Linked DNA regions of Saccharomyces cerevisiae S288C. The protein of the gene in region 1 interacts with the protein of each later gene in a biochemical or structural test. Each region holds a gene or a part of one and is shown on either strand. Other genes may lie near its edges. The genes, in order: CDA1 and CMK1.

What was found.
Region 2: the proteins of CDA1 (region 1) and CMK1 form a complex in vitro, tested with the Saccharomyces cerevisiae proteins (2 studies listed by BioGRID, with this or other methods).

The regions. Positions count from the first base shown.
Region 1 is NC_001144.5:738,244-755,531, reverse strand, and holds CDA1 (chitin deacetylase CDA1), read right to left. Parts: upstream 9,913-17,288; coding exon 9,007-9,912; downstream 1-9,006. Other genes in the region: Ras family guanine nucleotide exchange factor CDC25, read left to right, coding at 1-3,308; IMH1 (Imh1p), read left to right, coding at 3,763-6,498; chitin deacetylase CDA2, read right to left, coding at 6,657-7,595; DPA10 (Dpa10p), read left to right, coding at 8,421-8,684; NEDD8-conjugating protein UBC12, read right to left, coding at 10,681-11,244, 11,379-11,381; 1-phosphatidylinositol 4-kinase STT4, read left to right, coding at 11,669-17,288. UniProt on the Saccharomyces cerevisiae protein: Hydrolyzes the N-acetamido groups of N-acetyl-D-glucosamine residues in chitin to form chitosan and acetate. Chitosan is a component of the spore wall.
Region 2 is NC_001138.5:168,061-175,615, forward strand, and holds CMK1 (calmodulin-dependent protein kinase CMK1), read right to left. Parts: upstream 5,818-7,555; coding exon 4,477-5,817; downstream 1-4,476. Other genes in the region: DCV1 (Dcv1p), read left to right, coding at 1-436; YFR012W-A (uncharacterized protein), read left to right, coding at 1,164-1,250; IOC3 (Ioc3p), read left to right, coding at 1,862-4,225; glycogen (starch) synthase GSY1, read right to left, coding at 6,205-7,555.

The DNA.
Region 1 (17,288 bases):
AATACTTTGATTTGATATCAGATTCAATAGTCTTCACACAGTTAGGCTGCAGGCTAATGCAACATGAAATTAAAGCCAAAAGTTGCAGCAAGGAGATTAAGAAGATTTTCAAAGGTCTAATCTCTTCATTGTCAAGGATAAGTATCAATTCTCATTTATATTTCGATTCAGCTTTTCACAGAAAAAAAATGGATACTATGAATGACAAGGATAACGATAATCAGGAAAATAATTGTTCTAGGACGGAAGGGGATGATGGTAAAATTGAAGTAGATAGTGTACATGATCTAGTTTCAGTTCCATTGTCCGGTAAACGTAATGTAAGTACCAGTACAACGGATACATTGACTCCAATGAGATCATCATTCAGTACAGTCAATGAGAACGATATGGAAAATTTCTCAGTCTTAGGTCCAAGAAATAGTGTTAATTCTGTCGTAACACCAAGGACTTCAATACAAAATTCTACTTTGGAAGATTTTTCACCGTCCAACAAAAATTTTAAGTCAGCTAAATCGATTTACGAAATGGTTGATGTGGAATTCTCGAAATTTTTAAGGCATGTTCAGTTACTTTATTTTGTGTTACAGAGCTCAGTCTTCTCAGATGATAATACTTTACCACAGTTGCTCCCAAGATTTTTTAAAGGTTCATTTAGCGGTGGTTCTTGGACAAATCCATTTTCGACTTTTATTACGGATGAATTTGGTAATGCGACAAAGAACAAAGCTGTCACATCTAATGAAGTGACCGCTTCGTCGTCCAAAAATTCCTCAATATCAAGGATTCCACCAAAGATGGCAGATGCTATTGCCTCTGCGTCAGGATATAGCGCTAATTCAGAAACAAATTCCCAAATTGATTTAAAAGCAAGCAGTGCCGCGTCTGGTTCAGTTTTTACACCTTTCAACCGTCCTTCTCATAACAGAACCTTTTCAAGAGCAAGAGTTTCAAAAAGGAAGAAAAAATATCCATTAACTGTAGACACTTTGAATACAATGAAGAAGAAATCCTCGCAAATTTTTGAAAAATTAAATAATGCTACAGGTGAACACTTAAAAATTATAAGTAAACCCAAAAGCAGAATTAGGAATTTGGAAATAAATTCAAGCACATACGAACAAATAAATCAGAATGTTTTACTATTGGAGATACTGGAGAATTTAGATCTGTCAATTTTCATCAATTTGAAAAACCTGATTAAGACACCCAGTATTTTGTTGGATTTGGAAAGCGAGGAATTTTTAGTTCACGCCATGTCTTCGGTCTCCTCAGTACTAACAGAGTTTTTTGATATAAAGCAGGCTTTTCATGACATCGTCATCAGATTAATAATGACAACGCAACAAACGACCTTAGACGACCCGTATTTGTTTTCCTCAATGAGGTCCAATTTCCCTGTCGGACATCATGAACCTTTCAAGAATATCTCTAATACACCTTTGGTCAAGGGCCCCTTCCATAAAAAAAATGAACAATTGGCACTCTCCTTATTTCACGTATTGGTGAGTCAAGATGTGGAGTTCAATAACCTTGAATTTTTAAACAACTCCGACGATTTTAAAGATGCTTGTGAAAAGTATGTCGAGATTTCTAATCTTGCGTGTATTATTGTTGATCAATTGATTGAAGAAAGAGAAAATTTGCTGAACTACGCAGCAAGAATGATGAAGAATAATTTGACTGCAGAACTATTGAAAGGTGAGCAAGAAAAATGGTTTGATATTTATTCCGAGGACTATAGTGATGACGATTCAGAAAATGATGAAGCTATCATCGATGACGAATTAGGATCTGAGGACTATATTGAACGCAAAGCTGCGAACATAGAGAAAAACCTTCCATGGTTTTTAACTTCAGATTATGAAACTAGTCTTGTCTATGACTCAAGAGGAAAAATTCGTGGCGGGACAAAAGAGGCACTGATTGAACATTTAACCAGTCATGAACTTGTTGATGCGGCTTTCAATGTTACAATGTTAATAACTTTCAGAAGTATATTAACCACAAGAGAGTTTTTTTATGCCCTGATTTACAGGTACAACTTGTATCCTCCTGAAGGGCTGAGTTACGATGATTACAATATTTGGATAGAAAAAAAGTCAAACCCGATTAAATGCCGTGTGGTCAACATTATGAGAACATTTTTGACGCAGTATTGGACAAGAAATTATTATGAACCTGGCATACCACTGATTCTAAATTTTGCCAAGATGGTTGTATCGGAGAAAATACCGGGGGCAGAGGATCTTTTGCAAAAGATAAATGAAAAACTGATAAATGAGAATGAGAAAGAACCAGTGGATCCTAAGCAACAAGATTCGGTATCGGCAGTCGTACAGACAACTAAACGTGACAATAAATCACCGATACACATGTCTTCGTCTTCTTTACCATCTTCTGCTTCTTCAGCGTTTTTTAGATTGAAGAAATTGAAGCTCTTGGATATTGACCCATACACATATGCCACACAATTGACTGTACTTGAACATGACTTATACCTCAGGATCACTATGTTTGAATGCTTGGATAGGGCATGGGGTACCAAGTATTGTAATATGGGTGGTTCTCCGAACATTACGAAATTTATAGCTAATGCTAATACGCTAACTAATTTTGTTTCTCATACCATTGTAAAACAGGCAGATGTCAAGACACGTTCAAAATTAACGCAATATTTTGTTACCGTTGCCCAGCATTGTAAAGAGTTGAATAATTTTTCTTCAATGACTGCCATAGTGTCCGCTTTGTATTCCTCCCCAATCTACCGACTGAAAAAGACATGGGATTTAGTTTCCACTGAGTCGAAGGACCTTCTGAAGAACCTAAACAACCTTATGGATTCCAAGAGAAATTTTGTGAAGTATAGAGAGCTGTTGCGATCCGTGACGGACGTTGCATGTGTTCCCTTTTTTGGTGTATACCTATCTGATTTAACATTTACGTTTGTCGGAAACCCAGATTTTCTTCACAATTCAACCAACATAATAAACTTCAGCAAGAGGACTAAAATCGCAAATATAGTGGAGGAAATTATAAGCTTTAAAAGATTCCATTACAAGCTGAAACGATTGGATGATATTCAGACCGTTATAGAAGCGTCTTTGGAAAATGTCCCCCACATTGAAAAGCAGTATCAATTATCACTGCAAGTGGAACCGAGATCAGGAAACACCAAAGGCAGTACGCATGCTTCTTCTGCTAGCGGTACAAAAACTGCAAAATTCCTAAGTGAATTTACAGATGATAAAAATGGCAATTTTTTGAAGCTAGGTAAGAAAAAACCTCCTTCTAGGTTATTTCGATAAAAGTTTATACAATTTGCTAATCAAGAAGAACCTTAGCTTTATGTTTGATTGCTACACTCTATTATTTAAGATGGCTGCTTTTACTTAATATTCTTCGTGATAATACTGTACTGGTGGAGTGTTTTTCGTTTTCGAGGATTTGAGAGTACGCTTCATTTGCAGTTCTTCTTGATAAAGTTCGTTTTATATATATATATCTATTTTATATCTTTATATATTTTATTACACCCAGTTAAGTTATCGATCCAAGATTTTAAATGCCCGATTAGAGGAAACTTATTACCTGAAAAAATATCAATTAGTGATTCTATGAAAAGCTATTACCCGCATTCTCATAGTTCGGATTTTCAGATCCAGCAATATAAGAGAACCAAATGTAGCAGAAACGTCAAATAGTAAGCAACAGGAGTTACATTTGAGGTGATTTTAACTTAGGGAAACATTTGCTGATTCAATGTTCAAACAGCTGTCACAAATTGGTAAGAATCTTACCGATGAATTAGCGAAGGGCTTAGCCGATGATATGAGCCCTACCCCGTCAGAACAACAAATCGAAGATGATAAGAGTGGCTTGCCAAAAGAAATACAAGCTAAATTAAGAAAATTTGAGAAATATGAACAAAAATACCCTTTGCTACTCTCCGCATACAAAAATGAAAAATTAAAGTCAGAGAAGTTAGAGGCTGTTGAAAAGATTTTAGCGGAAAATACACCCATATCTAATATTGACGACGCAGTGGATACGTTGCCAGCTTTTTTCCAGGATTTAAACAACAAAAATAACCTATTGAATGATGAGATCAAGAGATTAACTAAGCAGAACTCGGAAATTCCAGAAAGCGCCTCTAGTGAAACTCTGAAGGATAAAGAAGAGGAATTTTTGAAAAAAGAGCAAAATTATAAAAATGACATAGACGATCTAAAAAAAAAAATGGAAGCTTTAAACATAGAATTGGATACTGTACAAAAAGAAAAAAATGATACTGTTTCAGGTTTGAGAGAAAAAATAGTTGCACTGGAAAATATACTAAAGGAAGAAAGGGAGGCCAAAAAACAGAAAGAAGAAGTATCTATATCCGAACTGAAGGAAGAATTGGCTATAAAGAACCATTCTCTCGAGGACAGTCGAATGAAGATAACCGAATTGGAGCAAAATTTGTCTTCGAAAAGTACTATAATGGAGGAAAAGTCCTCAGAGTTGGCAGAACTAAATATTACTTTAAAAGAGAAAGAGCGCAAGCTGAGTGAATTGGAAAAAAAAATGAAGGAGTTACCGAAGGCGATATCTCATCAAAATGTAGGAAACAATAACAGAAGGAAAAAGAATAGAAACAAGGGAAAGAAAAATAAGGGAGGCATAACTACGGGTGATATCAGTGAAGAGGAAACGGTCGATAACTCAATCAATACTGAAGAATATGATAAGCTTAAAGAAAATTTGCAAGAATTACAAGAAAAATATAAAGATTGTGAAGATTGGAAGCAAAAGTATGAAGATATAGAAGCAGAACTAAAAGATGCTAAAGAATTGGAAAACTCACAGCTCGAAAAATCAGCAAAGGAGCTGGAAACCCTTAACACCGAGTTGATCGATACCAAGAAGTCATTGAAAGAAAAAAATTCGGAGCTAGAGGAGGTGAGAGATATGCTGAGGACTGTAGGCAATGAGCTTGTGGACGCAAAAGATGAGATTAAAGAGTCTTCGAGTAAACAAAATGAAGAAGTGAAAACCGTTAAGCTGGAGCTCGATGATTTACGCCATAAAAATGCAACGATGATCGAGGCCTACGAAGCTAAAAATACTGAGTTGAGAAGTAAGATAGAGTTATTGAGCAAGAAAGTAGAGCATCTGAAGAATTTATGTACAGAAAAGGAGAAAGAGCAGACTACATCGCAGAACAAGGTAGCCAAATTAAATGAGGAGATATCTCAACTTACCTACGAAAAATCAAACATAACAAAGGAGCTTACTTCTTTAAGAACCTCTTATAAACAAAAGGAAAAAACTGTGAGTTACTTGGAGGAACAAGTTAAACAATTTAGTGAGCAAAAGGACGTGGCTGAAAAATCCACAGAACAGCTGAGAAAAGATCATGCTAAAATTTCTAACAGATTAGACTTATTAAAAAAGGAAAATGAGACACTGCATAATGATATCGCAAAGAATTCTAATTCCTACGAGGAGTATTTGAAAGAAAATGGTAAATTATCGGAAAGATTGAATATTTTGCAAGAAAAATACAATACCTTGCAAAATGTAAAAAGTAATTCGAATGAACACATAGATTCTATCAAAAGACAATGTGAGGAACTAAATGTCAAGTTGAAGGAATCTACAAAAAAAATTTTATCTTTAGAAGATGAACTAAATGAATATGCTAATATTGTTCAAGACAAAACCAGAGAAGCTAACACATTGAGAAGGTTAGTTTCGGACAGTCAGACAGATGATTCGAGCAAACAAAAAGAGTTGGAGAATAAATTGGCCTATTTAACGGATGAAAAGAATAAATTGGAAGCAGAATTAGACTTACAAACATCCAGAAAGGCCACTGAATTACAAGAGTGGAAGCATACAGTAACTGAGCTGAAATCGGAAATACACGCTTTAAAGCTTCGTGAAGAGGGACTAAAATCAGAGGTTGACGCATTGAAACATGTTAACAATGACATCAAAAGGAAGACTCAAGCCACTTCAGATGATTCCGATCAGTTGGAACAGATCACATCTAATTTAAAACTCTCATTGTCTAAGGCTGATGAAAAGAATTTTGAGCTACAGTCTGCCAATGAGAAACTTCTGAATTTAAATAACGAACTTAACAAGAAATTTGATCGATTACTAAAAAATTATCGTTCATTGTCCTCTCAATTGAATGCTTTAAAGGAAAGACAATACAGTGACAAGTCAGGAAGAGTTAGTAGGTCTGGTTCTATCGGTACTCTAGCTAACGCGAATATTGATTCCTCACCAGCGAATAACTCTAATCCAACTAAATTAGAGAAGATACGATCATCAAGTTCATTGGAGTTAGACTCTGAGAAAAATGAAAAAATTGCATATATAAAAAATGTTTTGTTGGGATTTTTGGAGCACAAGGAACAACGGAACCAATTACTTCCTGTAATTTCTATGTTGTTACAACTGGACAGTACTGATGAAAAAAGACTGGTTATGTCTCTGAAGTAAAAATGTAGCTGAAAGCAGAAGATACGTATATATTGAAACAGTTTTTTTCTTCCTGAAATATATCAAGAAGTTGCTGCATGTCTATATATAAAATACTAAAGCAATTTCTTTTTAAATTGTAATTTAATTCTTCCTTATTTTCTTCAATTCCCTGAAAATTAGGACAAGAATTCTTTTATGTAATCAATTCCGCCGACACAATGAGAAACTGTTGATTGATCATCACCTATCAACTTATTTATTTTAATGGCAAGATCGACAGTTTTTTCCGTTGAATCGTGTTCTAATATTAATCCGGTTCCTGACTTGTTCCAGTTTATTACATTTTGAAGAATTTCTTGTTCAGTTATGACAGAATCATTGAGAAGGAGGCTCCAATCAAAAGTATCGTGATCCCATAAGACGGCTTGTAAGCCAAATTGCCTTGTTATTGCTCTTACTCTATTATCTATTCCGCCATATGGAGGTCTGAACCATTTGGGGGTATGGTTGCCAGTAGCATTCATCGCCCAGATGGACCATTCAATTTGAGCTATAATTTTTTCATTCGATACATTTGGCAAATATACGTGAGACCAGGTATGTGAGCCGATTAAGTGTCCCTCCTTTTGCATTCTTTGATAGATATCTGGATGTTGAACTATATTGACACCTAAATTGAAGAAGGTGGAATTATGCTTCAACCGGTCCAATAATTTAGTAGTGGAAGCAGAAGGACCATCGTCAAATGTCTGGGAAAGTTTGGAACATGTGTACACATCATCGTGTTCGGTGCAGTGATGGCAATCGAAAGAGCACGAGTCCCTTGGAACACTGTCGCAATGGTTTTGATCATATTCCTTATAATCTGGAATTTGACTGAAATCAATGAAATCTAAAGGTATATAAGGTGGATCTAACCCAGGCCATTCTTTTAACCCGGTAAATGCACTAAGCCAATCCGGAAAAGGCGTTTTTGTAGCTGCCCTTTCCAATACAGGAAATTGAAAGTCTATCTGCTTTAAATCTTCCCTATTAGCTTCCGCGTGAACAAATTGCCCCAGACAGGAAAGTGCAATAATACATTGCAAATCAATTGTATTTAGTTGTATTCTCATTTTCAATTGCCGATCCGTAGAAATAATAACAACTCTTTTGCAGTTTGTTTACCCACTGTGGGTTTTTGATAAATAATAGAGGATTACTGAAGGAGAGAGAATATTTTAAATGGATTTTGATAATACTACAAAAGAATAGCCAGTAATTTTTGCGTTGCGTCACAAAATCAAATATCTAGTTTGTTCCCTGACGCATGTTTCTCATGTGTTACCCGTCCTTTTGTAACCTTCACTGCTACAGCCGTACTATGTGGCATTTATGGGTTAATAGAAAGTTCCATTAATCCGACATTAAAATTGGATGGATTAATGGAGAACACAAAGGCAAAAAAACAATGGAAGAACAAAGAAAATTTAGCGGAAGTAAAAATAACAGCCGAAAGCCAAATTCAGGCTTATCTTGCCTACTCTTTCTTTTATCGAATTCCTTTAGGCCGTTGCAATAGAAAAGTAATAAAAACGCATATACGTAAGTTGTAGTCAGTGTAATTGCAATCTATTATGCGCATCAGGTGCGCATACTACATCCATTGGTGCACAAAAAAAGGAACGCAGACAAGAAAATTATTCAGTTTGCTGTTCGTGATGAGCCATCCCTGAATATGACTAATGTTAATGTTCAATTTGGGATCTTATTTTTTTTTGTGCAGTAATAAGAATCTTTGAAAAAAAACTATATAAGCCTATATAGTTTGTAAGATATAAGACAAAACACACCTGCTTTTCCACTACACATTTTCGTTATTATATAAAAAAGACAGCCAAGTATACTTGTCAACAAAATAAACTCATAGCAATTACACTATAAAAACAATAGCATCAAAAATGTCACTAAGAAACATATCAATGATCACAAAAAATTTGCAAACAACTGCCAAGTGTTATGTCCCAAAAAGTTCACCTACATCAACAACTATTCCGGTTATAAGGGATGCTAGTACTACTCAATGTCGCAGAATAACTACCGTCATCAATATTACGAGTCTGAAAGGATATTCTCCATCTCCAAGAACAGTTCATGATAAGCCAATTGTTATTTGCACTGACAACGAAGAGGTAGAGACTGTATCGGAGCACGTAAAAGTATAATTTGAATTAATCTACTCTTAACACTGTTCAAATGTACGTGTAACGTTTTGACGCTAAAAGATTCTAAAAAATTACTTTTTAAAGTTATACCCTCTGACTTTATGTGACATCAGCATCCTAAGTACCTACCGTTCATAATTTGACGCTTTTCCTTATACATTCAAGCATCGATATATATGATTTTTATATATGTCCTCTATTCTAATACATACTTTTTTACTTTTGAAATAACAAAATATTCTTTTTATTTTTGCGAGTTGAATAATTAAATAAGAGATCAAAGATATATAGAGAGAAACTTTATTTCTCGGAAATCTTACTTCTAGTCGTAGCGTTCGATGTAGTCTGTATCACCAATACATTCTGCAATTGTCAATTGGTCACTACCAATAAGTTCGTTGATTTTAATAGCAACCTCAACTGTTCTTCGTGCACCATCGTGCTCTAAGATCAAACCTTTCCGTTTTCCCTTCCAAGTATTTATGTCCATAAGTATTTCTTCCTCTGTTCTGAAATCATCATTAGTGATTAATTTCCAATCAAAAGTATCGAGATCCCACAAGACAACCGTTAGGCCAAACTGTTTTACTATAGCTCTAACCCTATTATCAATTGCACCGTATGGAGGCCTAAAATACTTGGGGAAATGTTTGCCTGTGGCATTCATAGCCCAAATTGACCATTCAATTTGGGCTACAATTTCTTCGTTTGATAAACTTGGCAAGAATTCATGTGACCACGTGTGTGTACCAATCAAATGACCCCTCTCTAAAATATGCTCATATATATCAGGATAATTAACAGTGTTTATCCCCAGAACAAAAAAAGTGGTTCTTTGTCTCAATTTCTTGAGCAATGCCTCTGTCGCCGGGGCCGGACCGTCGTCAAATGTTTGGGAAAGTTTGAAACACGAAGTTACATCATCAACATCGATGCAGTTATAGCAGTCAAATGAGCACTGCTCTCTAGAAATTTTGGGACACTGGCCAGGATAGTACCTATCTAATTCTGGCACTTCAGTAAGATTTATGTAATCTAGCGGAATATAAGGTGGGTCAATTCCAGGCCATTGTGTAAGATTAGTAAATTCTGTTAACCACTCTGGAAAGGGCGTTTGCATATCTACTTCCCCCATCAATGCGGTACTCCCATTTGACGCAAGGCAATTTCCCTGTTTTAGAAAAAATGCTGCGAACAGCACAGATTGTATTGTATTGAAAATTTTCATCTCTTTTCTTGTGTAAAAGTAAATCTATCACTTAATTTTGTTTCTCTATATTCCACTTTGCTTACTTCTAAGCATCTACTTTGTTAGAACTATTGGTCTTTTTGAAAACACAAAAGTAAATCAACCCACTTGTTGGTATTTTTCTCTTTTAATTGCGATTGAATGACGGCCGGTCCGGAAAATGTGACATCTGGAAAAGAGAAATGTTGAAGCTGCTTCCAAGTGCATGAGACAGAATTTTTTTTACAGAAAATAGAAAGCGTTATCTTGTTAAATATTACTAACTAGTATAGTCATTCATTTTTTTCTTCCATAGTTGTAATATCTTTATTTTTTGTAAGAATTAGCGATAGCTGAGATTGCGTTCTTCAACTTCCTGCTCTCTCTTAGTCTTCTATCCAGGGTATCTCACCTTCCTGATTATCTTGTCAATAGCCATGGCTTCGCTGTTTCTTTATTATAAGAAGTATTTTTTGTTTTCTTCAAGAAATTTTTCGTATTAATATCTTTATGTTTTGTTTGCCTTTACTGGCCAGAAATTTTATACTTATTTTGAATAGAACACATTAAGTTCTACAGGTACCTGCAAAATATCGAGACAAAAGTTTGAACGAGAATATAAGGAATGTTGGTCATAAGGCGTAAACTAACAGAAGATGGCGGTAGCAAGATGTTACCAAGGCGACAACTCGCCTAGTATGTCACAATTATCTATAATTTTATTGTTTATATATAATCAAATCAACCGAAAATTACTCTGAACTTGACTCAAGGAGAAACTATGTTATCATATTTGACATGTTCAATTGAACCTCCAGACATGGTCAATCTCACAGCTTCAGCAAATTCTTTCTCACCCTCACACAGTAACTTTGCTGCATCCTTGTTTAACGGGTCATTGGGATTAGGCTCCAAGAACAAGAAAAGAAGCCCGGTTATAATACTCTGCAAATCTAGAGCTGGCGACCAGTCTTCTCGAAGAATATTTAGGCAAACGTTCCCCTTTAAATCGATATTTGGATGAAAGATCTTCTTCAAACATACAACTTTTGGTGGTTCAATCGGATAAACTTCGTTAAAATCCAAATTGAAATTAATAGATCCATAATTATAATATCCTTCATCAGGCCTAACAATTACCTCCAATTTCGGCGATTGTGATCTATCCGCACTATCTGGTGATGTTATTACATTCAAAGTCACTGTTGGTGGGAGGTCCAGCGAATCAAGGTCCCTTTTCAAACGAATTCTTGCTGCCGATAAATTAGGCTGAATAGAACTGCTGTTTTCATTTTCTTTTTGCTTTTTCTTTTGTAATTGGCGTAATTTCAACTATTTGAATAAAGCCAAGAATATACATATCCAGTACACATATACATTCTCACCCCCCAAAAAGATTATGTTAGTATTTTCGATCGCTAAAAACCGCCAATGAGAAACGGAAAGATATAGTTGCATCTACGTACCATTTTTATTATCTTGTTTTATATTCTCTAACTGATTCTTTAATGTCTCTAAGTACATTTATGAATGATTGGCCTTTTTCATCTCATTTTACCTTTTGGCTGATATCATCAAACGGCACGCGCAGGGATGAAGGTACGTTAATAGTATTTTTTTTTTTCAAGAATACTGCGAAGATGTTTGAGTTGTGGGAAAAAACATATTCAACATTAATAACTATTGTAAATCAAGAAAAAAATTAGATCACAAAAAGATAACTACAGCAATCGAAAACGCCACTCGTTTAAGGCAGATGAGATTTACCAGAGGATTGAAAGCCTCTTCATCTTTAAGAGCGAAAGCTATTGGAAGACTAACTAAACTTTCGACGGGTGCACCAAATGATCAAAACAGTAATGGTACAACATTAGATTTGATAACTCATACATTGCCTATTTTTTATTCCACAAATACGTCAAAGATATATACTATACCACTTACATTGAGTGAATGGGAAGTACTAACTTCGCTTTGTGTTGCAATCCCTACCACGCTCGATCTGGTAGAGACAATGCTTAAAGAAATAATTGCGCCTTATTTTCTGGAAACTCCAAGACAAAGAATTTCAGATGTTCTGTCCTCGAAATTCAAGTTGGAACAGATGAGAAATCCGATTGAATTGCTAACTTTCCAGCTGACTAAGTTTATGATTCAAGCTTGTGAACAGTATCCCGTTCTTTATGAAAATATAGGCGGCATCATTTCAACTTATTTTGAGCGTGTATTAAAGATTTTTACTATTAAACAATCTGGTCTACTATCATTAGTGGGCTTTATTAATGCATTTATCCAGTTTCCCAACTCTACAGAGCTTACTAAATTCACCTGGAAAAAGTTAGCGAAACTTGTGCTTCGTGGATCATTTCTAAACGAAGTTGATAAGATTTTGAATTCCTCAGCAACGTTTACCAATGATTCAATCGTCCAGTATTACGATGCTGGAAATGAGCTATCCAGTGCCTACTTATTGGAATTAATATCTCGCTTGCAAGTTTCGCTAATATCTCATCTGTTAAACACTTCACATGTCGGCGCCAACTTGAGTGAGTTCTTACTAAATCAACAATACCAATTTTACAAATTTGATCAAGAAGTAGCCGATGAAAACGATGATACGAAGTGTATTGATGACTTTTTTTTCAACGTAAGAAGCAATAAACAGTTTTTTACAGACATGTGTAAAATTTCCCTGCAATTTTGTTCTGAGTCACATATTCTCGACCTATCTACAGACAACCGTGCAAGATTTTCTTTTGATACTCGAGCCCACTACCTACAAACGCTATGTTTAATTCCGTTTATAGAAGATACAGAAAGCGAGCTTTTTGAAAGTTTTACAAACGTTGTTTCTGAATCTATTGATAAATTTTTCTTATCTGATGTCGTTACACCATCTTTGATAAAAGCAATTGTAGCTTCTGCCTCATTACTGAATTTTTTCACGGAAAAATTGTCATTAACTCTGATTCGTATGTTTCCTTTATTGGTAGCGTCTCCACATATCACGACTGAAACAGTTAATGATGTTGCAAAAATATTCACCACAGGGTTATACCCTCTAAATGAAGATGCAATTGTGAGTACAATTTATTCCATGAACAACTTATTAGCTGTTTCCGAGGACGGATCGCCCGTCCCGGTGCTCCGTGAGCGCCAATTAACAATAACATCTGGAAAAAATATTGAGAAAGACTACTTTCCCTTGCGAAATTCATCTGCCAGTTTGGATGGCACTGGTGCTCTGCTCGGAAATACAACTGTGGGCCAACTTTCCTCCCATGATGTCAATAGTGGAGCTACTATGACATACCATGCCTCTTTGATATCTAATTGTGTGGCTGCAACGACTACAATCGCCTCATACTATAACACCCAAAGCATAACAGCTTTGACTATCTCTATTCTTACGCAAAAAGTTAATTCTATGTCAAAGGAATTAGACGGTGTTATTTTGAATTCTTTGGCAAGACTGGCTCCGAATACTTCACTGACAGAATTTTCGCTTTTACTAAAGTTCTTCAAATCGAGAACTGTTATTGCAACAAAAATTGATGATAGCGCACTATTGAAAAATATTATTAAAGCGAAATGTGTGATATCAAAAGAATTGTTGGCCAGGCATTTTTCAAGTGACTTATATTTCATGTATCTTCATGATCTATTGGACTCAATCATTGCCAGTGGGGAAGTAGAACGATTGGAACATCACAGACCTCAAACGGAGATTTCCCGTGTTGCTGATCAAATCGCTACCTACTTAGAGCCCCTCGCCGCTCTACTACCTGTTCCAGGCGATACGCCATTGGACATCAATAAGGATGAAGTCACTACAAACAAGTTTAGGAACGCCTGGTTTAATTTTGTCATCCATGGGTACCACTTGGGCGGGCCTATTGTCAAACGAAATTTTTCTTTCTTATTAACTATTGCCTATAATTCACCACCGCTGGCTTCTGAATTTCCTGCTAATAACAAGGAGCTTTCATTGGAAATGAATACAATTTTGCGCCGCGGTTCATCTAACGAAAATATCAAACAACAAAAACAGCAGATAACCGAATATTTCAATACCAATATTGTTCAGTACAGAACAACTTCATCGTCTAAAATCATGTTTTTAGCGGCTGCCGTTCTTCTAGAAACGATAAGATGCGAGGCAGGTGATTGTTCGAAGACTCTACTGTACTTCTCAGACCCCTCCATTCTTTCCGGTTCAATTGAGAAGTGTATTGCAGTTTTGTCGGTTTCCATGATTAGAAAATATGCTAGGTTGATTCAAAAGGGTAACGATGCCATATTCAACTCCAAAATGATTGCTCAACAACTTAATAACTTGCTACTTTGCCTTTCTCATAGGGAACCAACTTTGCAGGATGCCGCTTTTCATGCCTGTGAAATATTTATCAGATCTATTCCATCATCGTTATGTCATCATTTGTCTCTCTACACCTTATTAGATATGTTAACAGCCCTATTTGATAGTATCTTGGACTCAGAGGCGCATAAATTTGAACCACGGTATGAATTTAAATTAAAACATTCTAAGACAACAATATTGGTTCCAAGCTCATCGTCCTGGCGCGCTACGACACTATCAAGATTGCACAAGTCAGCTAAAGAATGGGTAAGAATTCTATTGAATAGAAGCAACCAGGATACTAAGATTTTGTTGCAATCATACATATCAGATCTCGGTGAGTACAGCAGGCTAAATTCTGTTGAATTTGGTGTCTCATTTGCCATGGATATGGCTGGTTTGATTTTACCTGCAGATAAGGAATTATCAAGGCTTACTTATTATGGTCCAGAGAAACCTAACACGATTTCTGGATTTATATCTTTACATTCTTGGAGGTCAAAATATCTTTTCGATACCGCTATTACATCATCACCAGAGGATATCAAAAGGCAAATAGGTATTTCCACTCAAAACATAAGAAAAAATTTGACCTTAGGAAATAAGATTATAACTAAAGACGTAACTGATTTTCTTGATATGGCTACCGCGTTGTTAATTCTTGGCAATGGTGCACCAGCGTCATTGATATATGATATTGTGCACATCCCGTTCGAAGTCTTCACCTCTGCATCTTTAAAGATTGCTACAAACGTATGGTTAACAATCATAACTGAGAAGCCCGAAGTTGCACATTTGCTTTTAGTTGAAGTATGCTATTGCTGGATGCGCTCCATTGATGACAATATTGGTCTCTATTCTCGCGATCATGACTTAAAGGGCGAAGAATACCAAAAAATGGAATATTCCCCTTACGACAAAGCAGGTATCAACAGAGATGCAAAAAATGCATCCCAAGCTATGCAACCACATCTTCATGTTATTAAATTTTTTGCTTCCCATTTCGAGGGCACACTATTTCAAAGTGACTTTTTATTGAAAATTTTCACGAAATGTGCGCTTTATGGTATCAAGAATCTGTATAAGGCTTCACTACACCCGTTCGCTAGAATGATTCGCCACGAATTATTGTTATTCGCGACTCTCGTACTAAACGCAAGTTATAAGCAGGGATCCAAGTATATGGGCCGTTTGTCGCAAGAAATCACAAACGGTGCCCTAAGTTGGTTTAAAAGACCAGTAGCGTGGCCATTCGGCTCAAATGAGCTGAAAATCAAAGCAGATTTATCTGTTACTAGGGACCTTTTCCTTCAGCTCAACAAATTAAGCTCGCTAATGTCACGTCATTGCGGGAAAGATTACAAGATCCTGAACTATTTCTTGGCAAGCGAAATCCAGCAGATTCAAACCTGGCTTACTCCGACTGAGAAGATTGAAGGAGCCGACAGCAACGAGCTTACAAGCGATATCGTTGAAGCTACCTTTGCTAAAGATCCAACATTAGCAATAAATCTCTTACAACGATGTTATAGCAAGAAAGCTGAGGATGTTTTAGTGGGCTTAGTTGCAAAACATGCTTTAATGTGTGTGGGGTCCCCAAGTGCTCTTGACCTGTTCATAAAAGGAAGCCACCTGAGCAGTAAGAAAGACCTACACGCAACCTTATACTGGGCGCCAGTGAGCCCGTTAAAATCTATCAACCTTTTCCTTCCCGAATGGCAAGGTAATTCTTTTATCTTACAATTCAGCATATATTCGTTGGAATCACAAGATGTGAACTTGGCATTCTTCTATGTTCCTCAAATCGTACAATGTTTGAGATACGATAAAACCGGATATGTCGAAAGATTGATTTTGGATACTGCGAAAATTAGTGTGTTATTTTCTCATCAAATAATCTGGAATATGCTTGCAAACTGCTACAAGGATGATGAAGGTATACAAGAAGATGAAATCAAACCAACTCTAGATCGTATTAGGGAGCGTATGGTTTCAAGTTTCAGCCAATCTCATCGCGATTTTTACGAACGTGAATTTGAATTCTTCGACGAAGTAACTGGCATATCTGGTAAGTTGAAACCATACATAAAAAAAAGTAAGGCTGAAAAGAAACATAAGATCGATGAAGAAATGAGCAAAATTGAGGTGAAACCTGATGTTTATTTACCTTCTAATCCTGACGGTGTAGTTATTGATATTGATCGGAAGAGTGGTAAGCCACTTCAATCTCACGCAAAGGCGCCTTTTATGGCGACCTTTAAAATAAAGAAAGACGTAAAAGATCCTTTGACAGGTAAAAACAAGGAAGTTGAAAAATGGCAAGCTGCTATCTTCAAAGTCGGTGATGACTGTAGGCAAGATGTTCTAGCGTTACAATTGATCTCGCTATTTAGAACCATTTGGTCTAGTATTGGCTTGGATGTCTACGTTTTTCCCTACAGAGTTACTGCGACGGCACCGGGTTGTGGTGTCATCGATGTGCTACCCAATTCGGTATCCCGTGATATGTTAGGACGTGAAGCTGTTAATGGATTATATGAATATTTCACTAGTAAATTTGGTAATGAATCTACTATCGAATTTCAAAACGCACGAAACAACTTTGTTAAATCCTTAGCGGGATATAGCGTAATTTCGTATTTGTTGCAATTCAAGGATAGACATAATGGTAACATTATGTACGATGATCAAGGACATTGTCTACATATCGATTTTGGGTTTATTTTTGATATTGTCCCAGGTGGTATCAAGTTTGAAGCAGTACCATTCAAGCTGACGAAAGAAATGGTTAAAGTGATGGGAGGTTCGCCCCAGACCCCAGCGTATCTGGACTTTGAAGAACTTTGTATCAAGGCATATCTAGCCGCCCGTCCGCACGTGGAGGCCATAATTGAGTGTGTAAATCCTATGTTAGGAAGCGGTCTCCCCTGCTTTAAGGGTCACAAGACAATTAGGAATCTAAGAGCAAGATTTCAACCTCAAAAAACCGATCACGAAGCTGCACTATATATGAAGG
Region 2 (7,555 bases), on another chromosome or scaffold:
CTGCTCTCGAGTACGTTTAATATATAACACCTCGAAAGAAATATTACCTGGCCCTTCTCTTGAACGTTGGTGGCTGAGTCCTAAGGCAAGACATACAATAGGAGGACTTTTGATTTCGATACCGGTTGCTACATGTTTGACTTTCATTTCTTTTGCACTTCCCTTGGTTATTATTTTTCTTTTTCAGACTGGAGGAACTAATGTCTCACTTATTACTTCCAACGCTATATTACACATATTGACACTTTTATCAACTATTTTTGCATGCACCGTGATCCTGTTACTTTGCATGCACCGTGATCCTGTTACAATTTCATCCTTATACGACTTGGTGTGGCTGGCTAACTGTTCCCTGTTCCCTCTGCTCGTTATTGGCGTGCATTTTCTCAGTTTTAGGTTTGATACGTCTGCGCAGTCAGACAGAAAACATAGCTAAAGAAGCTAGTATAGAGAACGTAGACAGTATTCTCAAACTATATGGAACGAGTCAAACATCAAGTTCCCTTGGCGAAAATTATCCACAAACAACTAAGGGCACAGACCAATCTGTGTATGACATCACAAGTCTTTTTAATGATCTACCAAGGACCTTAGATCCCAATCAAGATAAACTGGCGGTAACAAATCAAGATGAACCACCGCCTGAAATCAAATCTCCATTGAAGCAAGCAGGTTTGGTGAGTTTCTTCGCTCCAAAGTTGAATGGTAAACAAATATTTTCTAGAAGGCATGTTGAAAATCAAAAATCCTTATCTTTGGATGAAATCAATATAACCGACTTACCTGCAAAGCAAGAAAATGTGGAAATGCCTACTGAAAAAAAAAAGGCAAATATTTTATATTATGAGGGAATCTCAAGCCATTCACAAGATAACTACGACCCTCCTTGGTTATTTGGCGTTGAGGCTACCCAATCAGCCGATTGCTTTAAAATATATTCAAAAAAAAATCATTGTCTCACAGAGCCCCGCCAATATCAACTACAACAACCAAATAATTACCAGGATCAAAGTGAGGTTCCTCATAACTCTTTCATTCCTTGGTATTCCCGAAGAAGACCAGTAGGATACAACCACAATTACAATCGCTACTACTCACAGACAACTCATGGTAACAGCGAACACTCCCGACAAACATTGCCACAGACCTACAACATACACAGCATGCTCCCCAGAAAGTACAAGCCCGCCTACAAAAAACAGGCACATCGTGTGAAGAGTAATCCACAACCAGCTTATACTTTCCAATGACAAAATAACAAGAATAAAGTACTATCCAATCTGCTTTTTTTGTACGCGTTTTGTTGGCGCGCCGCAATTTGAAAAATAAGAATAAAGTACTTCTTGCTACTATTTAATGATTCCATCCGTATTCCACATCGTTGACGTCTGAGTCTGATAGACTAGTATATAGAAAATAAAAATAAGATAGAGTAAATAGTATGCTACTTTTATCGAGCCCATCTTTTTGAGCTTAATTTCTGAAACAAAGAAAGGAAGTGCCCATTTTTCCTCTTAACGGTTTCTAAAATTACTGAAGAGAAAACAACTTTTAGATGTAATTTATTTACATTAACATTAGCAGTGACTACAGAGGACAGGTATGGCGGTATGGCGGTATTTGTTAACATTGACTTTCCTTATGCGTGGAAGTACTAGTAATATTCCCTCTCGGATCATAAAAGTGAAATATCGTGCTTCACGATTTGCTGAAACTTTAACAAATTCATTGAAATTACGTGAGTTTATACTAATGAATGGACTTAATTTCTTAAGATGGTGATATCTTCCACATTGGTTTCGGCCAACAAAACTATCACTTACCAAGTACTTCAAGCAAAGTTTGCAATCCCCTATTGTTTATGGATTCTCCATCCAATTCTATCCAGAATTTGCAGCAAGAAGCCCAGGGCAGCTCTTCCGCACAGCTTGCTGACCATGATCATGATCGCGTATCAATGGCTATGCCCTTACAAACCGATCAAAGTGTTAGTGTTTCACAATCTTCTGATAATTTAAGGAGATCAAGACGTGTTCCTAAGCCAAGAACGAGCATTTATGATGAATACGAGGAAGAGTTAAAGGAAAGGGCGAATAAACCCAAGAGGAAGAGACCTGCTCCTCCTAAGAAAAAGGCACCTTCCACACAGAACTCTAAATCAAATGATAAAGTAGAGAAAAAGAAGACTACCTCAATTGCTAAGGATGGCAAACCTACACTGAAGACTAATGACAAAAAAGTGGCGCCGAAACCTAAACCAGCCCATGAACAAGTAGAACCCGCTTTGATCCCTAGCAATTGGACTTCTGTAATACCCTTGCTTACTTCTGATTTCAAGAACCAGTATAGTGTCATCTCTAGGTTAAAAAATCCGAACATGAAGCCTGTGCCATATGCTGGAGATATCATTAAGCTGATGGCGTTCATAAATAAGTTTAGTTCTTTTTTCCATTCTGACCTACAAAATTTATCATTCCAAGATTTTGAGGTCGGTTTAGATTTGTATCCCGGCGATCCTAATGGAAGCGCAGCTGGTATAGTGAAGGGTCCTGAAGACACCTCCTTATTGCTATATCCTGATTTTATGGCCATCAAGGATATCGTCTATTGCCAAGACAAAATGAATTTACTGTTCCTATCCTTGTTAGATTTAACATTTACTGAAAATTTTGATGGTAAAAGTGCCAAGAAGAAAGGTCCATTAACAACCTGGGAGAATCTAAAATCGTCCTCCAAGAAAGTATTTTCCAATCCTCTTTATCGGTTAAGACTTGTAGCTCGCGAATGGGGGTATCCACGAGAATGGCGTCAACAACTCCCCAGTGACCAAGATATCTCCAAACCTAAAACTGCTCTTTTTGAACAAGATGAACAAACACCAGTGGTGGATCCCAGTCATCCAGAAATTTTAACGCCAAATATATATACCTGGAATGCTAATGAACCACTCCCATTGGAATCAAATCCTTTGTATAATCGAGAAATGGACAAGAATGGAATTTTGGCGCTCAAACCAATGGATCGCGTTGTTTTATTGAGGGCGTTAACTGACTGGTGCGCTTCCCATTCATCTGCTATTCATGACGAGATATACAAATTAACTCATGGTAAAAAAGATCCCGTTTTTGGCATCCAAACACAACAAGTGCCTAGGTATACAATTGAAGGGGTAGATAATACCATAAATCAGTTTAAAAAACTCTGCTCACTAATTCAATCAAGATATGAAATCAGAAGTAAGAAAAAACATTTTGTTAAACAACTAAAAGAGGGTAAAAAACCAGATTTATCAAGGAAGCTAGAAATACTGAAGGAAATTAAAGCGGAATTGAAGAACGCTGTAAAATCCGAAAAGGATGAACTTTTGTTCTCACTGTACGACAAGTGGGTCCCATTGTTTGAAGGCGAATTACCTGATCAACCATTAGCCAATCCTTTTTCGGAAAGACTTTATAAATTGCGATTACAAGAGTTCTTCCTTGGTAGAGTTCCCCATATAGGTGATTTTTATATGCCAAGATTACACAGTTATGGGGACTCACTCGAAATGAGCACCTTCACTGATTTGAGAAATCTACAAGCATTGCTATCGAAATTCAAAAATAATGAATACAACGCTTTTACACTGTTTGAAAATGATGGACAATCGATGAGTGCCCAATTCAAATTGTTTTACCATGACACACCATCGTTGGCGCATGATGTTGCACGAGGCAGAAATACATCGGGGAAGGTTTATTGGTATGAATTATGCCACGATTCAGCAACACTGCTGGAGTTCTTGGAGTTCTTGGACTATAAAATTGTTAAACCTCAAGATGAGAAAAAGGAGGGAAATGAAAAAGAAAAAGAAGCACTGAATAATGAAGCGCACATATTGGAGCAGAAATCTACCACTGATAATAATCCCTCCATAAATACAAACCCGCTACCAAAAGACGCAAAATATAACACTGCGAGAAAGAAGTTACAGATATTAAAGGAATTTTTATCTGATTACTATTTCATTCTTCGTCAGTTTGAACAAATGAAAGTGCAATTTGCAGACATGAAGCCAGGCAAGAGACAGTTGAGAAGGATACAGCGACAGACTGTAAACTATAATACGGAATATGATAGCGAGGAATATGTCGATGATGAAGAAGACGACGAAGCTGATATTTATGATGACAACGACAATGATTCTTCTTTTGATGATGGTAGAGTTAAAAGGCAGCGCACTTAGACAACTAGCTTTCAACGAACGTGAAGATTGTGAAACTCCTTACAGGCTGCATTTCGATTAATTAAGTAATGTAAAATTAAGACTATTAGTACATAATTAGATACGCGTATCTTTTCAACTAAGGCATAAAAAAAAAAGGTAGAAAGTGAGGACGAAAAAGTGCAAAATATCAAAGTCAAATCTTGCGCATATTCGAGCTTACAAAGTCATTGAAGATTTATTCGCCAGTGTGGTAAAACGGCATACTGTTATCATTCTTCTGTTTTGGTATCCTTCCCCTCTGGTTTCTCCTTCGCCTCATCCAAAGACTTTATATCACTCCCAGGAAGATCGCTATCAGAACTACAGACTCTGTTAATATTTAAAAATTTTTCCTTTTCGGCAAGCACTGTGTTAACTAATTGTGCAAAAGCTTTGCTGGTTAACTCGGACTTCAACTTAGACTGTTCTTCTTCTGATAGCTTCTTGGATAGTTGACTGGTATCCGTTGCTTTCAATGGAGGAACTGAACCGTTTGCTTGACTTCCTTCGTCAAAATCTGAATCACTCTCTGTCTGTTCAAGATACAGATCTCTTAATTTCTGGATCTTCATGTTTAATCTGACTCTCTCAACAGAATTACGGAACTTTTGACGAGCATCCAATCCTTCCTTTAACCCAGGCAATAAATTGTGCGTCTTCAATTCGGTACAAATAATCCATGGATCTTCCAAGAGTTCTGCGGCGGTCGGTCTCTTTGAAGGATCCAAATTAAGAGCCTTCAAGATGAATTGTTTTGCTTTATTGGAAACGGAATCCCAATAAGGCCTATGAAACTTCACTGGATACTCACCAGTTGTGCATTCGTCAAGGAAATCTTGAACCCTTTCGGCTCTAAACGCCGAATAACCGCAAAGCAAAGTATACGTAATGACACCTATCGACCAAATGTCGCAAGGTTTACCATGACCGTCCTGAGTAAGTACCTCTGGAGCCACGTAACCCAGTGAGCCTGCCGGCTTATAGAGGAGTTCCTCATCACTTTTCAATCTCTTTGCGATACCAAAATCAGCAACTACCAGTGGAGATTCGTCACTTTTATCTATATACAGTAAATTTTCCGGTTTCAAGTCCCTATGAACAATATTCTGAGAATGCATATATTTGACTGCGCTCAATATTTCAACCAAAATTCTCACTGCATCTTCCTCAGTGAACTTACCCTTCTTCAAAATCCTATCGAACAATTCACCCCCTTTGGCTAATTGCGTGATAATGTAGAACTTGTCTTTTGATTCAAACCAATCCTTAAATGCCACTATATTTGGATGATGCAGTCTTTGTAAAATGTCTAACTCGTCGTATAAAGCCTCTAGCTGAACCTTGTTTCCCTTTAGTGCTTTCTTGATCAGGATTTTAACGGCCACGTCCTCCCCTGTTTCAGTGTTTTTGGCTTGTCTCACCACACCAAATGTACCAGCACCTAATGTCTTCCCAAAAACATATTTTTTTTTATTCACGTACGAAGCAGGCTGCACATGTGCCATTTTACCTTCAGAATCCTCCTCTGTTTGTTTTGGGGAGCTCTCCTTTTCTGAAACTTTGTCGTCCATAGTAATTGACTCGTTATTTTTTCTGGTGTCTTCCAATATTATATAATTGTGAGTTCTCTACGAGAATTGAAACCATTTATACTCTGGCTTGTAGTCGATGTGGCTTTCGTTCTTTTTATCCCCTGCGTAGGTAGCTCGGCTGCACCATTCTAAACGCGGGGGGAGTTTCTTTTTTTTTTTTTTTCAGCCTTTTCTTCGTAAGCAAAGTATCCCACGTAAAAGGTTCCTTATACTAACACATATGTACTGTAAAGGTAAAATTACTTCTATTTTTTCTACTGCTATTATTTCTATGTACTTATACAAGAATAACAGAACGTGCAATACTAAAATTAATTTGATGCTCAGCTAAAAGAGTAAGATATGTTAGCAGAAGTTAAGATGGTTTTAATTATCCTCGTAGTATGCAGACGTATCGTTGTCATCATCGTCATTGTCGATGGCTCCATTCGTGCTCAAATTAAAATAGTCATCTGCATTATTAGCATCTTGAAGGGTACCTAAATCGCCCGGAGTCATGTAAACAGTACTATTGGACCTTACTTTGGGGGATCCGGGTACACTCAAAGGCCTGGCAATCTTGAATTTCTTGCCACCGGCAAGAGTATTCATATTGGCGTCACTAATTGTTTCACCCACCAGTTGCTTGAACTGCTCTGGATAGGCCCTACGAAGACCCAACTGTCTAGCCTTAACGTATTCCAACCCCATTCTCTTCCAATCTAACAAGTCTGATAGTCTTTCGGTTCTGTTTCTTTGGTTGATTCTTTGTCTTCTGGTCTTGTTTACAAACTCTTCCATGTAGTCTGCTAATTGCTCGACAGATTCATCAGGGCTCTTGAAACGACGGTCTACAATATAAATACCATAGTCTTTCGCTTGGTCTGTTTCAATCAAGTCTTCCATGTAGGCACCGAACCCAGAAACGTTTGTTGTGATAGATGGGACACCCATGACGGTACATTCTGCTGGCGTGTACCCCCATGGTTCGTAATAGGATGGAAAAACACCCAAGTGACAGCCGCGAACAAACTCGTCATAATCCAAACCAAGGATAGGGTTATTGGCGTTTAAGAATTCAGGATGGAAAATCACTTTTACACGATCACTCGAATCATTGAATAATCTAACATGTCTAATTTGGTTTAAAATTGGATCGTTAGCATCATCGCACATGTTATGTGTGACTACCGGAGGCAATTCCCCGTAAGGTCTTCTCAGCGCCAATACCCTTTTCTTCAGCAAAACCTTTTCAGAACTCTTCAACAGCTCATCTAAATTAGTGGGCAACTCTGATTCTAGGCCATTATGAGGGTATCTCATCGTATGCTCGAAAATTCTCTTCCCAATGGATGCGGTGACCTCATTAACAGTATTTTCCAAAGATTTTACAATGGCTTGGCTTTTCAGTGCCTCCACAGTGAAGGAATTGGTTTTGGCAGGCATGATCAAAAACGCTACCACCGTCTTCTTGGATCCAGAAACCTTCAATCTGTAATTGAGACGAGCCAATGATTCAATGAACATGTCAGCACCTTTGTTTTTGTATTCATATCTACCAGCGATAAAGAAATAAACTGTGTTGTCTAGATCGAAATCAAAACAACCATGGAAATGGCCTCTGACGAAATCATTAATTTTGTCCTTTTTCAGGGCATGCAGATTTTGAAATTCATGTACTGCTTGAAACTTAACAACGTTCAAACCATTGGGCAAAATGCCATCCGGTTTCCTCTTC